Saccharomyces cerevisiae S288C: one gene and its partners. The protein of the gene in region 1 interacts with the protein of each later gene in a biochemical or structural test. Each region holds a gene or a part of one and is shown on either strand. Other genes may lie near its edges.

Region 1 (4,562 bases):
AAATGTCTTTTACACCGGTAGTGCGGGTACAGGTAAGTCGGTCATTTTGCAAACGATCATAAGACAATTGAGCTCTTTGTATGGGAAAGAATCAATTGCAATTACCGCCTCAACTGGGCTAGCGGCAGTGACTATTGGTGGTTCCACATTGCATAAGTGGTCTGGTATAGGAATCGGGAACAAAACTATCGACCAATTGGTGAAAAAAATACAATCACAAAAGGACTTATTGGCCGCATGGAGGTATACAAAAGTTTTGATAATTGATGAAATTTCTATGGTCGATGGTAATCTGTTGGATAAATTAGAGCAAATCGCAAGGAGAATTCGGAAGAACGACGATCCCTTTGGTGGTATTCAATTGGTCCTGACAGGCGATTTTTTTCAACTACCACCAGTTGCTAAGAAGGACGAGCATAACGTTGTGAAATTTTGTTTTGAAAGTGAAATGTGGAAACGGTGCATTCAAAAAACGATTTTACTGACAAAGGTTTTCAGACAACAGGATAACAAACTAATTGATATTCTAAATGCCATAAGATACGGAGAGCTGACTGTCGACATTGCTAAAACAATAAGGAACCTAAATAGGGATATAGACTATGCCGATGGAATTGCTCCTACAGAACTGTATGCCACAAGAAGAGAAGTTGAACTATCCAACGTAAAGAAATTACAGTCTCTACCTGGTGATTTATATGAGTTTAAAGCTGTAGATAACGCGCCCGAGAGATACCAAGCGATACTAGATTCTTCATTAATGGTGGAAAAAGTTGTCGCATTGAAGGAAGATGCACAGGTAATGATGTTGAAAAATAAGCCTGATGTAGAATTAGTTAATGGATCATTGGGAAAAGTTTTGTTTTTTGTTACAGAATCGCTGGTGGTGAAAATGAAGGAAATTTACAAGATTGTGGATGACGAAGTTGTCATGGACATGAGATTAGTGAGTCGGGTCATTGGTAATCCCTTGTTAAAGGAATCAAAGGAGTTTCGTCAAGATTTGAATGCCAGGCCATTAGCTAGATTGGAACGTTTGAAAATCTTGATAAACTATGCAGTTAAGATCTCTCCGCATAAGGAAAAATTCCCCTATGTGAGGTGGACAGTGGGTAAAAACAAGTACATACATGAGCTCATGGTCCCAGAGCGCTTTCCCATTGATATTCCCAGAGAAAATGTCGGGTTAGAAAGAACTCAGATTCCATTAATGCTATGCTGGGCACTGTCCATTCATAAGGCACAGGGTCAAACTATTCAAAGACTAAAGGTCGACTTGAGGAGAATTTTCGAAGCCGGCCAAGTTTATGTTGCACTGTCAAGAGCGGTAACTATGGACACCTTACAGGTCCTAAACTTTGATCCAGGAAAGATTCGCACCAATGAAAGAGTAAAAGATTTCTATAAACGTTTAGAAACTTTGAAATGACTTGCAACGAATAAATGCATATACTCTAGTTGAAGTTTTCTTTTCTTGTTCTATACAGGTTCGAATACTTGTGAGCCTATCTGTATAATTTAACAGAATCCCGAAATATTCATCTAGAAGCCATCTATTTAGCTAAGCCTACGTATGCGGCGATTTTTATATTATCTTTTTTTTTTTTTATAGAAGACTGCGAAATGTTGGCAGAATGGAAAGTTTCAGTGTTAAAAATAGAAACTGAAAAAGGAGATCTAGCCAGGAATATATCGAAAAAAAAAGTGAGGGAAATCAGATCCTACACAAATATTTAGATTTAATTGAAGACCCTGGTCTGCCAGATATATATATATATTAGACGAACTGTGCATTCAGTCAGCAAATCTAGGCCACAGATTTTCTTATTGAAGCTATCAAAATAGTAGAAATAATTGAAGGGCGTGTATAACAATTCTGGGAGATGGCTGATAAGATAGAGAGGCATACTTTCAAGGTCTTCAATCAAGATTTCAGTGTAGATAAGAGGTTTCAACTTATCAAAGAAATAGGGCATGGAGCATACGGCATAGTGTGTTCAGCGCGGTTTGCAGAAGCTGCCGAAGATACCACAGTTGCCATCAAGAAAGTGACAAACGTTTTTTCGAAGACCTTACTATGTAAAAGATCCCTACGTGAGCTAAAGCTTTTGAGACATTTCAGAGGCCACAAAAATATTACATGTCTTTATGATATGGATATTGTTTTTTATCCAGACGGGTCTATCAATGGACTATATCTTTATGAGGAACTTATGGAATGTGATATGCACCAAATCATCAAATCCGGTCAACCTTTGACGGATGCTCACTATCAAAGTTTCACATACCAAATATTATGTGGTTTAAAGTATATTCATTCTGCAGATGTCTTGCATCGTGATTTGAAGCCCGGCAATTTGCTTGTCAATGCAGATTGTCAATTGAAAATCTGTGATTTTGGGTTAGCTAGAGGTTATTCGGAGAATCCTGTCGAAAACAGTCAATTTTTGACGGAGTACGTGGCCACTAGATGGTATAGAGCTCCGGAAATAATGTTGAGTTACCAAGGATATACCAAGGCGATTGACGTATGGTCAGCTGGCTGTATTTTAGCGGAGTTTCTTGGTGGAAAGCCAATCTTCAAAGGAAAGGATTACGTTAATCAATTGAATCAAATATTACAAGTTTTAGGGACACCCCCAGACGAAACTTTAAGAAGGATTGGTTCTAAAAATGTTCAGGACTACATACATCAATTAGGTTTCATTCCAAAAGTACCTTTTGTCAATTTATACCCAAATGCCAATTCACAAGCATTAGACTTATTGGAGCAAATGCTCGCGTTTGACCCTCAAAAGAGAATTACCGTGGATGAGGCCCTGGAGCATCCTTACTTGTCTATATGGCATGATCCAGCTGACGAACCTGTGTGTAGTGAAAAATTCGAATTTAGTTTTGAATCGGTTAATGATATGGAGGACTTAAAACAAATGGTTATACAAGAAGTGCAAGATTTCAGGCTGTTTGTGAGACAACCGCTATTAGAAGAGCAAAGGCAATTACAATTACAGCAGCAGCAACAGCAGCAGCAACAGCAACAGCAACAGCAACAGCAGCCTTCAGATGTGGATAATGGCAACGCCGCAGCGAGTGAAGAAAATTATCCAAAACAGATGGCCACGTCTAATTCTGTTGCGCCACAACAAGAATCATTTGGTATTCACTCCCAAAATTTGCCAAGGCATGATGCAGATTTCCCACCTCGACCTCAAGAGAGTATGATGGAGATGAGACCTGCCACTGGAAATACCGCAGATATTCCGCCTCAGAATGATAACGGCACGCTTCTAGACCTTGAAAAAGAGCTGGAGTTTGGATTAGATAGAAAATATTTTTAGGACAAAAAACTATAAGTAACCGGGGAAGTATAGAATCACCATAGATGTAAGCTTACAGACAATGTGTATATATGATGTATATGAACGTATACAAATATATATATATATACGTGCTCTTGTTGTAGCTCGTATATCAAATTCCTCCTCCGACGCTTATCTTAATCGTACTCCGCGGAAGTTTGTTATCGCCTCTTGAATTCTTTCTTTTCGTTCATTTATGATTAGTCATCTATAGACAATATTCATTATTTAAGCACCTAGAATACTAAACTAAATGTCTAAATATGACACAAGGAAGATAAGATAAAAAAAACCAAGCGCTTAGAATATGACTTTAATGGTACCTTTCAAACAAGTTGATGTATTCACTGAGAAGCCCTTTATGGGAAATCCAGTAGCAGTAATAAACTTCTTGGAAATTGATGAAAATGAAGTCAGTCAAGAAGAATTGCAGGCAATTGCCAACTGGACAAACTTATCAGAAACAACGTTTTTATTTAAACCATCTGATAAAAAGTATGATTACAAGTTGAGGATCTTTACTCCAAGAAGTGAATTGCCATTTGCTGGTCACCCAACCATTGGTTCATGTAAGGCTTTCCTTGAGTTCACCAAAAACACCACTGCGACTTCTCTCGTCCAGGAATGTAAAATAGGCGCTGTTCCAATAACAATTAATGAGGGACTAATTAGCTTCAAAGCTCCGATGGCTGATTACGAAAGTATATCGAGTGAGATGATTGCTGATTATGAAAAAGCGATTGGTTTGAAATTCATAAAGCCTCCTGCTCTTTTACATACTGGGCCAGAGTGGATCGTGGCGCTAGTAGAAGATGCAGAAACTTGCTTCAATGCAAACCCAAATTTTGCTATGCTTGCACACCAGACAAAACAGAATGACCATGTGGGAATTATCCTAGCGGGCCCTAAAAAGGAAGCCGCCATCAAAAACTCCTACGAAATGAGGGCGTTTGCTCCGGTGATAAACGTTTATGAAGATCCTGTTTGTGGTAGTGGTTCTGTAGCCCTTGCAAGATATTTGCAAGAAGTTTATAAGTTTGAGAAAACCACGGATATTACCATTTCTGAGGGTGGAAGGTTAAAAAGAAATGGCCTAATGTTAGCTTCAATTAAGAAAGAAGCTGATAATAGCACTTCCTACTATATAGCAGGTCATGCCACTACCGTTATTGATGGTAAGATCAAAGTTTAGGATTCTAAACG
Region 2 (3,956 bases), on another chromosome or scaffold:
GTGCCCATGGTAATTTTTGACGTTCACTCAACTTACTGACAATATCCTGCTGCTCAGTGGAGGGCATGTTCTCCCATCTGGATTGCAGATCCATTACAGCAGCGTTGGAAAGAGCATGTGTTTGAGCGAATCTTACGGATGTAATACGTGATAGTCCACCAGCTCTAGTAAAAGTGTTACGTAACATTGTAGATGCGTTCTTAGTTGATCTTGTGTTTGGTGCATTGCTTGCAAACAGAAGACAAAATACGAGGACTGATGGTTCTTATTTAATTGATTGTTCTTTTTAACTTTTCGCCGCCGCTTGTATCGGCGCAAAACGTAGGGCCAATCACAAACGAGGAAAACGTCTATTGGACGATTTTTGCAATGTGACACTTACAATGATGAATAATTACTATGTAGGCAGAAGTGCTAAGTACATTCTATTTAGAAGCGTAGGGAGGCGGTCTGCCTGCAGATCTGATAGTCATAAAGATTCTTTTGGGAGATGCTGTCCCTTAAGGAAGAAACATCATCTGTTCCGGGGCAGTAGATATTGATTCGTTGTCCACAGAAGCTTCCAGTGAATCTGCGGGTTGAGACAAACTTTTACAGTGCTCATCATCTTCCCCGCGTTCTGTGGCCAGTGCGGTCCTTGCTCCAGTCAACGTAGCAGGAGTTCTTGGCGTTACTTCCGAAGAATTGACAGAACTGTCATTCGGCGACGATGATAGATTCGTTACCATGGGAAAACTTCTAAAGGACGCAGAAGAGTAGGACTTCGTAGTCGAGGAAACTTCGTTGTTTCCGATGTCATCTTCCTCAGGCATGTGAACAGTCTCTCCTTCTTCGCCCGGTGAGTTCTTGGACAACATGGTTCCCCATTCCATAAGTTGGAAGATGAGACCCATGTTTGGACTTATATCCTTAGCAACACCTTTCAGCTTATTGTATGCATCATTTAAACTCAAGCCATAATATCGCATGATATACGCCACAATCAATGACGCCGATCTTGATACTCCACACTGACAGTGTACGAGTATTTTCTTGCCTTGCGAATGAGCGGTATGTATAATGCGTGTCAATCGGGATAAGTCCTTGACGATCTTGGATGTGTGTGTCCATTCAATATGGTAATATTTTATTTTATGTGCCATTTCCGGCGGTATTAAAAACTCCAGGTTCGGTATTTCTTTGGCAACATTAATGACTAAATCAAACGATAATATATCTTCTAGTTTGGGTTCTGAATATAGATACAAATTAGGCGGCAGTACCAGCAATGGTCCATCTAAATAAACCGTTCGTTGATAAATCTCTGCATGCACCATATCAATATTCAGATCCGAGTCCTCCTCCGGGAAAATCAATGTTGTTTGCATATTCTTTTGGTTAGAAAATCTGTTGACATCCGTACTATCTAAAGTACCTTCACGAGTACTAGAAATTGGCGTGGATGTCTCTAACCCTGAGATCGTTTGAGAACGTCCTCTAATTCCCTTCAACTTCAAGTCTTTAGTTTTCACGGATAATGAATGGACTCTATTCAGATGAGGTTTTTCTGAAAATGACGATAACGGTGATGATGATGACAGCTTACTGATAGACGATACTGTGGATGATTTTGTATACACGCTTGGAGAAACAGTTCGGTTCTTCAAAGATGTTGGTAGTGTGTATATAGAGGCCTCGCTTCGCCTCATCGACAGCGATGGTGGCGTTGGCCTTGGACTTACTTTTGGTGGACATTTCTCCAACACAATAGGTTTGGGCTTCATAAATAGATTCAAAGGTGTCGGCGATGGGAATTTTACTGAACCTGGCACATCTTGGCTTGGCGATGAGAATTCCATTAATGGATGGAGTGCTGCTATATCTAAAGATAAATTTTTGGTATTCCTATTTTGTAAGGAACGCGGTGAGTTTGGCTTGAAATCGATGTCGGTTTTACTGTCCAAATGCTGCTTATCTGAGTGAAATTGCATGTGCACTTATCGCTACCAAATGTATTACTATCGCTTCCGCTACTATTGTTGTCTTATACTTAAATGAAGAAAAAAAAAAGAATGTTTACTAAACGAGTTGCATAACCCTCACTCTTGTTTACTAAACGCTTTATTTAAAAGTAATAATAATGATATATTACACTGTATCGAATCCTATGTAACATTTTTGTATTTTTTCACTTCTAAATTTGAAATAGTCAAAGAGAAAAAAACATCAAAAAACAAACTACATTTTCCTTTTTTGGAAAGTACATTCCTGTTTTGGAAATTGCCTTCCGCTCCTGCGCTATAAAAAGAAAAATACCCAGCTTTGACGAAAAAGCTACATTCTTAACACTCACTTCTTACCAGGATGGACCATGGAATCCTTTTGAATAGCCGTAGATTTTTGCGTATTGAAAAAGGGCACCTCATACTTCATGCTTCCACGGACTATCAATTCGTAATCATGCTTGATTAGTAGCTTCCATTTTTTAGTATCATCTTCTTTGTCATCTCTAGCATTTGGTTTGCTTTTGTATTGTCTTTCATTAGTATTGTTTTCATCGTCACCATCGTCGCCATCATCATCGTCATCATCGTCGTTTTCGTGCTTGGCTTCACGAGACCCAGGACTTAAAAGCTTGACACTCGAGACTGACACATCGTAGTTCCTATTAAATGCGCCGCCCTGGAACTTTAATGGTGTCTCTAGTTTTTTAGCGGTTCCTAGTAATACCGTCTCTATGTTCCCACCACTAATATCATTATTAGCACTCTCTTCAACTAACGAAAGATTTGTCGTTATTTGTAAAATTTTCCGTTCCTGTTCCATTACTGTACAGTCACCATTAGAATCGCACTTCAGGTAAGAACTTTTTGCAAAAATGTCCAAATCGACTTGGGAAACGCTTATACTGAAGAATCCTGGATTAAAAGCACTTACTGTGATGTCGAAGATCAACTCGTCCGAACTTGAAATCACATTATCCATCACTACCACGTCTACATCTTGTAGTTCTTTATTAGTGGCCAATAAAAATCCCAGAATGAATCCTGTCATCAATAGTGATGATATAACAAATGCAAGATAAAGAAAATTCTTTACTTTCACAAATGGGGACTTCCTTGAGTAAAAGTTGTGCGGTGAGTAACCAACAATATCGTTATTATTGATATTGGAATGGGTAACGTCATCGTTACCATTCATATGGATGCTACCATTCATTATGCTATTGTTTGTTCTTGATAGGTGTCTTTGACCACGTTTCATTCTTAAGGGGGTATATTCATTCAATTGGTTGTTATTGCCAGTATTGTTGCCAACCATAAAATCGTAGTAATCATTATTTGATCTTGAAGGCATCCTTCCATGTAATGGAAGTTCGTGCGTGTTGGATGCTGAGCCATAGTAACTGTTGAAAGTAGCATTTGGGCGATCATAATCATCTACGTCTTCATCTTCACCATAATCGGATATTAGCGGTTTTGTTTCTAAATCGTTCTTATGATTATAATAAAACATGGAGTGAATATCGTTTTCATCACTTTCGTTATCTTCTGGAATAAACTCATGCTGAAGGTTAGTGTGTTGCGGTCGATTTACATTAGACGAGTCACCATTATTTTCCTCTTCAATAACATTGTTATCACCATAAAAGTTTAAACCATGGGGAAACTTATTGTTCCTGCTGTTATAAAATTCATCCTTTTTCACACTATTTTGCATTGTTGGATAATTATGCGGCTGTTCGATGTAATCTTCTAGATTAACGTGATCCGGTACCCCAGAGTATCTCCGTAAAGGAGCTCCATTAGGGTTTGAATCAAATATCTTTGACACTGTTGTTCTAAGAGGCCTTTTGTTGTCACCATAATTAGAATTTCTATTAGCAGAGGAATGTCTCAAAGTAGAATTGGAAAGAGATTTCTTCGTTGAAATATCATTGTTTGGTTCCAATTCCTGCGAATTTGTGGCAACATTGG
Region 3 (2,892 bases), on another chromosome or scaffold:
TCTTTTCCAGCTCCTCCCGTCTCGTGCTCACGTTTGAAAGATAGCTGCTCAGGGACCTTTTCTTTAGCGGCTGTTTTGTAGTAGTCTCATTCATATTGTCATGAATCTCTACAGCAATTCTTCTCTGTCACATATAATAATATCCTTTGTTGCTTTGTGTAACTTACTACATAGTTTTCTCAATATACACATTGATTTAGCATCACAAGAAAACTTGTTACCCGGAATAAACTAGTATGAACCGTACAGTAAATGCGCAAATTATATTGAGAACTTCGTACAAGAACCCTACCAAATCCAAACCTTGTTCTTCTAAGGACGAGTCACTTCCTGAGCCTTGATTTGGAAAAGGCTCTCAATAAGAGAAACTAAAAGCTCAGAACAGAGCATGAAACAAAGCGAAGAAATACGGAATTATTTATAAAGTACAGAAGAAAAAAAGAGCATCGTGCCCCTCAATAAAGCCTCATTGAATGCTATATCTTTTTTTTTTTTCTCTCTCACGGTACTTTTCTATAACTGTTGGCTTGCACGTTAGTCTTCGCGTTAAGAGCAACCTCCCATTCCATCAACTGGAAAATAAGCCCTATGGAAGGGTTTATCTTGTCTGCCCTTGATTTCAACAGATCATATGAGTGCCTCAGACTCAAGTTATGATATTTCATTATATATGCAATAATCAGCGTTGCGGATCTCGACAGCCCACATTGGCAATGTATCAGTATCTTCTCTCGCTTAGTCGTAGCTGCGTGTATGATGCTAGTCAATGATGGCAAGTCCAACGCAATCTGCGAATCATGTTCCCATCGGTAGTGATGGTACTCGACAGCAGGAACCTGCATTCGTAAATCGTTTGCCTCTTCAGCAACGTTGATGACCACATCAAAGGGTAAAAGCTCTTTTACCGTGGGCTCTGAATAAAGGTAGATCTTTTCCGGGAGAACAAGTAATGGGCCTTTTGGGTAGATTCTGCGCACGTCCAAACTCGAACAAGGCACGAATTCACGGTCTTCATTCGGGCTTTCTTTGTCCGTAGACCTCTCATCTGTGGCCAGCATAGGAAGAGATGGTCTTTGGCCACTCTTTGGTGCGATGTTCGGTGTTCGCGTGGGTGATGTGTATATGTTCATGCGAGATTATGGCTACAAGTGCGCAGCCGTATGTGTTATTTTAGATAATAGATTATCTTCAACTTTGTTGCTGATCTTGTCTTACTCGTTCTTTTATATCACCCAGTATACCATAAAGGGGATAAGAACTGATTAAAGTTATTCGCTGCGGCAACCTAATTAGGAAGTTGCCTGTTCCAGAAGGGGAGTTGCCAAGGCCGCGCCGTACGACGCAAAAACCCTTTTCTATCTGGAAGATATCTCCTATTCCAATAGTGTGCGCCCTGCCTAGCAAATGAGACGAATAACGGATTCCGCAGAAATGACACACTGCAAAATCTGTTCGTAGTTTTCAGCATTTAAAAGTTTAGTTCTTTTTCTATGCTGCGACTGAGCTTCTGCATTTTTTAACCAAATACTAATTTGTCTTACATGATTGAAAGCGCCTTTAGCAATTCCTTTCCTTTTTTCTCGCTTCCAATTGCAGAAATGGAACAAAAAGAAAAGAAAGAATAGTGAAGATGGAGCTCTTCTGTTTTATTCTCGAGTGAAGGAATTGCATGAAGAGGAAAGTGTTAGAAATTACCTACGATGGCACTACGATTTTTCAACGATATATCTAGAGATGTCAATGGCCTATTCAATAGGGACTTTTTTCACACCAACCCCCTCTCTTTGAATATTTCAACAACCACGGAAAATGGTGTGAATTTTACTCTGAAGGCGAAGCAGGGCGTGACAGAAGGCCCCATCCAAACTAGCGTAGAAGGACGGTTTTATGACAGGAAGGAGGGAGTGTCGCTATCTCAGAGTTGGTCGAACCAGAACAGGTTAAATACAAGAATCGAATTTTCCAAGATAGCACCTGGTTGGAAAGGTGATGTCAACGCATTTTTGACTCCCCAATCCATCAAGAACGCCAAATTTAATTTGAGCTACGCCCAAAAATCGTTTGCAGCAAGAACTTCTATAGACATCTTGCAACCTAAGGACTTTGTCGGAAGTGTTACTTTGGGCCACCGCGGGTTTGTTGGCGGCACTGACATCGCATATGACACAGCTGCGGGTTTATGTGCACGCTATGCTATGTCAATCGGGTATCTTGCCAGAGAATATTCGTTTATTTTGTCTACTAACAACAGGCAATGCGCAACTGCTTCATTTTTTCAAAACGTTAACCGCTATTTGCAAGTGGGAACTAAAGCCACTTTACAATCGAAGACAAGTTCTAATATGAACATTGAATTTGTTACCAGATACGTACCAGATTCTATTTCGCAAGTTAAGGCAAAAATTGCAGATTCAGGCCTGACTACATTGTCGTACAAGCGAAATTTGAATAAAGATATTTCTTTGGGTGTGGGTATGTCTTTCAATGCGCTACAACTGACTGAACCAGTCCACAAATTTGGCTGGTCTCTATCGTTCTCGCCCTGAGAGATTTTATTTTCTTATAAATTTTACTAAATAAGGATTTGTACTTTTGATAGAGTTTTTTTTTTTTCTGACGTTTGTTTAGTTAATATTATATAATAGTATTTAGGAAACTAGGTGGGAGGGGACATCGCAACTTTTATCGTGACCTACGACCAGTGTTTTTTCAATTGTTTGATCAAAAGAGAAAAAAAGACAAAGGACCGAAGGATAGTTGCACGCATAAACTGGAGAAAAAATTGTGTTTGACATCGGCGTTTAGGCTTGTTTGTTCTGTCACACATACGCTGCTTCACACCAATTCATATTTCTCAGGTTAATTTGTCTCCTCTCCAACTTCAATAACGAT

Evidence for each region.
Region 2: of the proteins of SLT2 (region 1) and MSG5, one has a biochemical effect on the other in vitro, tested with the Saccharomyces cerevisiae proteins (6 studies listed by BioGRID, with this or other methods).
Region 3: of the proteins of SLT2 (region 1) and SDP1, one has a biochemical effect on the other in vitro, tested with the Saccharomyces cerevisiae proteins (3 studies listed by BioGRID, with this or other methods).

The regions. Positions count from the first base shown.
Region 1 is NC_001140.6:167,666-172,227, reverse strand, and holds SLT2 (mitogen-activated serine/threonine-protein kinase SLT2), read left to right. Parts: upstream 1-1,883; coding exon 1,884-3,338; downstream 3,339-4,562. Other genes in the region: RRM3 (DNA helicase), read left to right, coding at 1-1,429; YHI9 (Yhi9p), read left to right, coding at 3,667-4,551. UniProt on the Saccharomyces cerevisiae protein: Serine/threonine protein kinase involved in a signal transduction pathway that plays a role in yeast cell morphogenesis and cell growth.
Region 2 is NC_001146.8:527,956-531,911, reverse strand, and holds MSG5 (tyrosine/serine/threonine protein phosphatase MSG5), read right to left. Parts: upstream 1,971-3,956; coding exon 501-1,970; downstream 1-500. Other genes in the region: COX5A (cytochrome c oxidase subunit Va), read right to left, coding at 1-187; VAC7 (Vac7p), read right to left, coding at 2,329-3,956. UniProt on the Saccharomyces cerevisiae protein: Dual specificity phosphatase that dephosphorylates MAP kinase FUS3 on both a Tyr and a Ser or Thr. Has a role in adaptation to pheromone.
Region 3 is NC_001141.2:148,797-151,688, reverse strand, and holds SDP1 (mitogen-activated protein kinase tyrosine protein phosphatase SDP1), read right to left. Parts: upstream 1,131-2,892; coding exon 501-1,130; downstream 1-500. Other genes in the region: HOS4 (Hos4p), read right to left, coding at 1-94; putative porin POR2, read left to right, coding at 1,701-2,546. UniProt on the Saccharomyces cerevisiae protein: Mediates dephosphorylation of MAPK substrates such as SLT2, acquiring enhanced catalytic activity under oxidative conditions.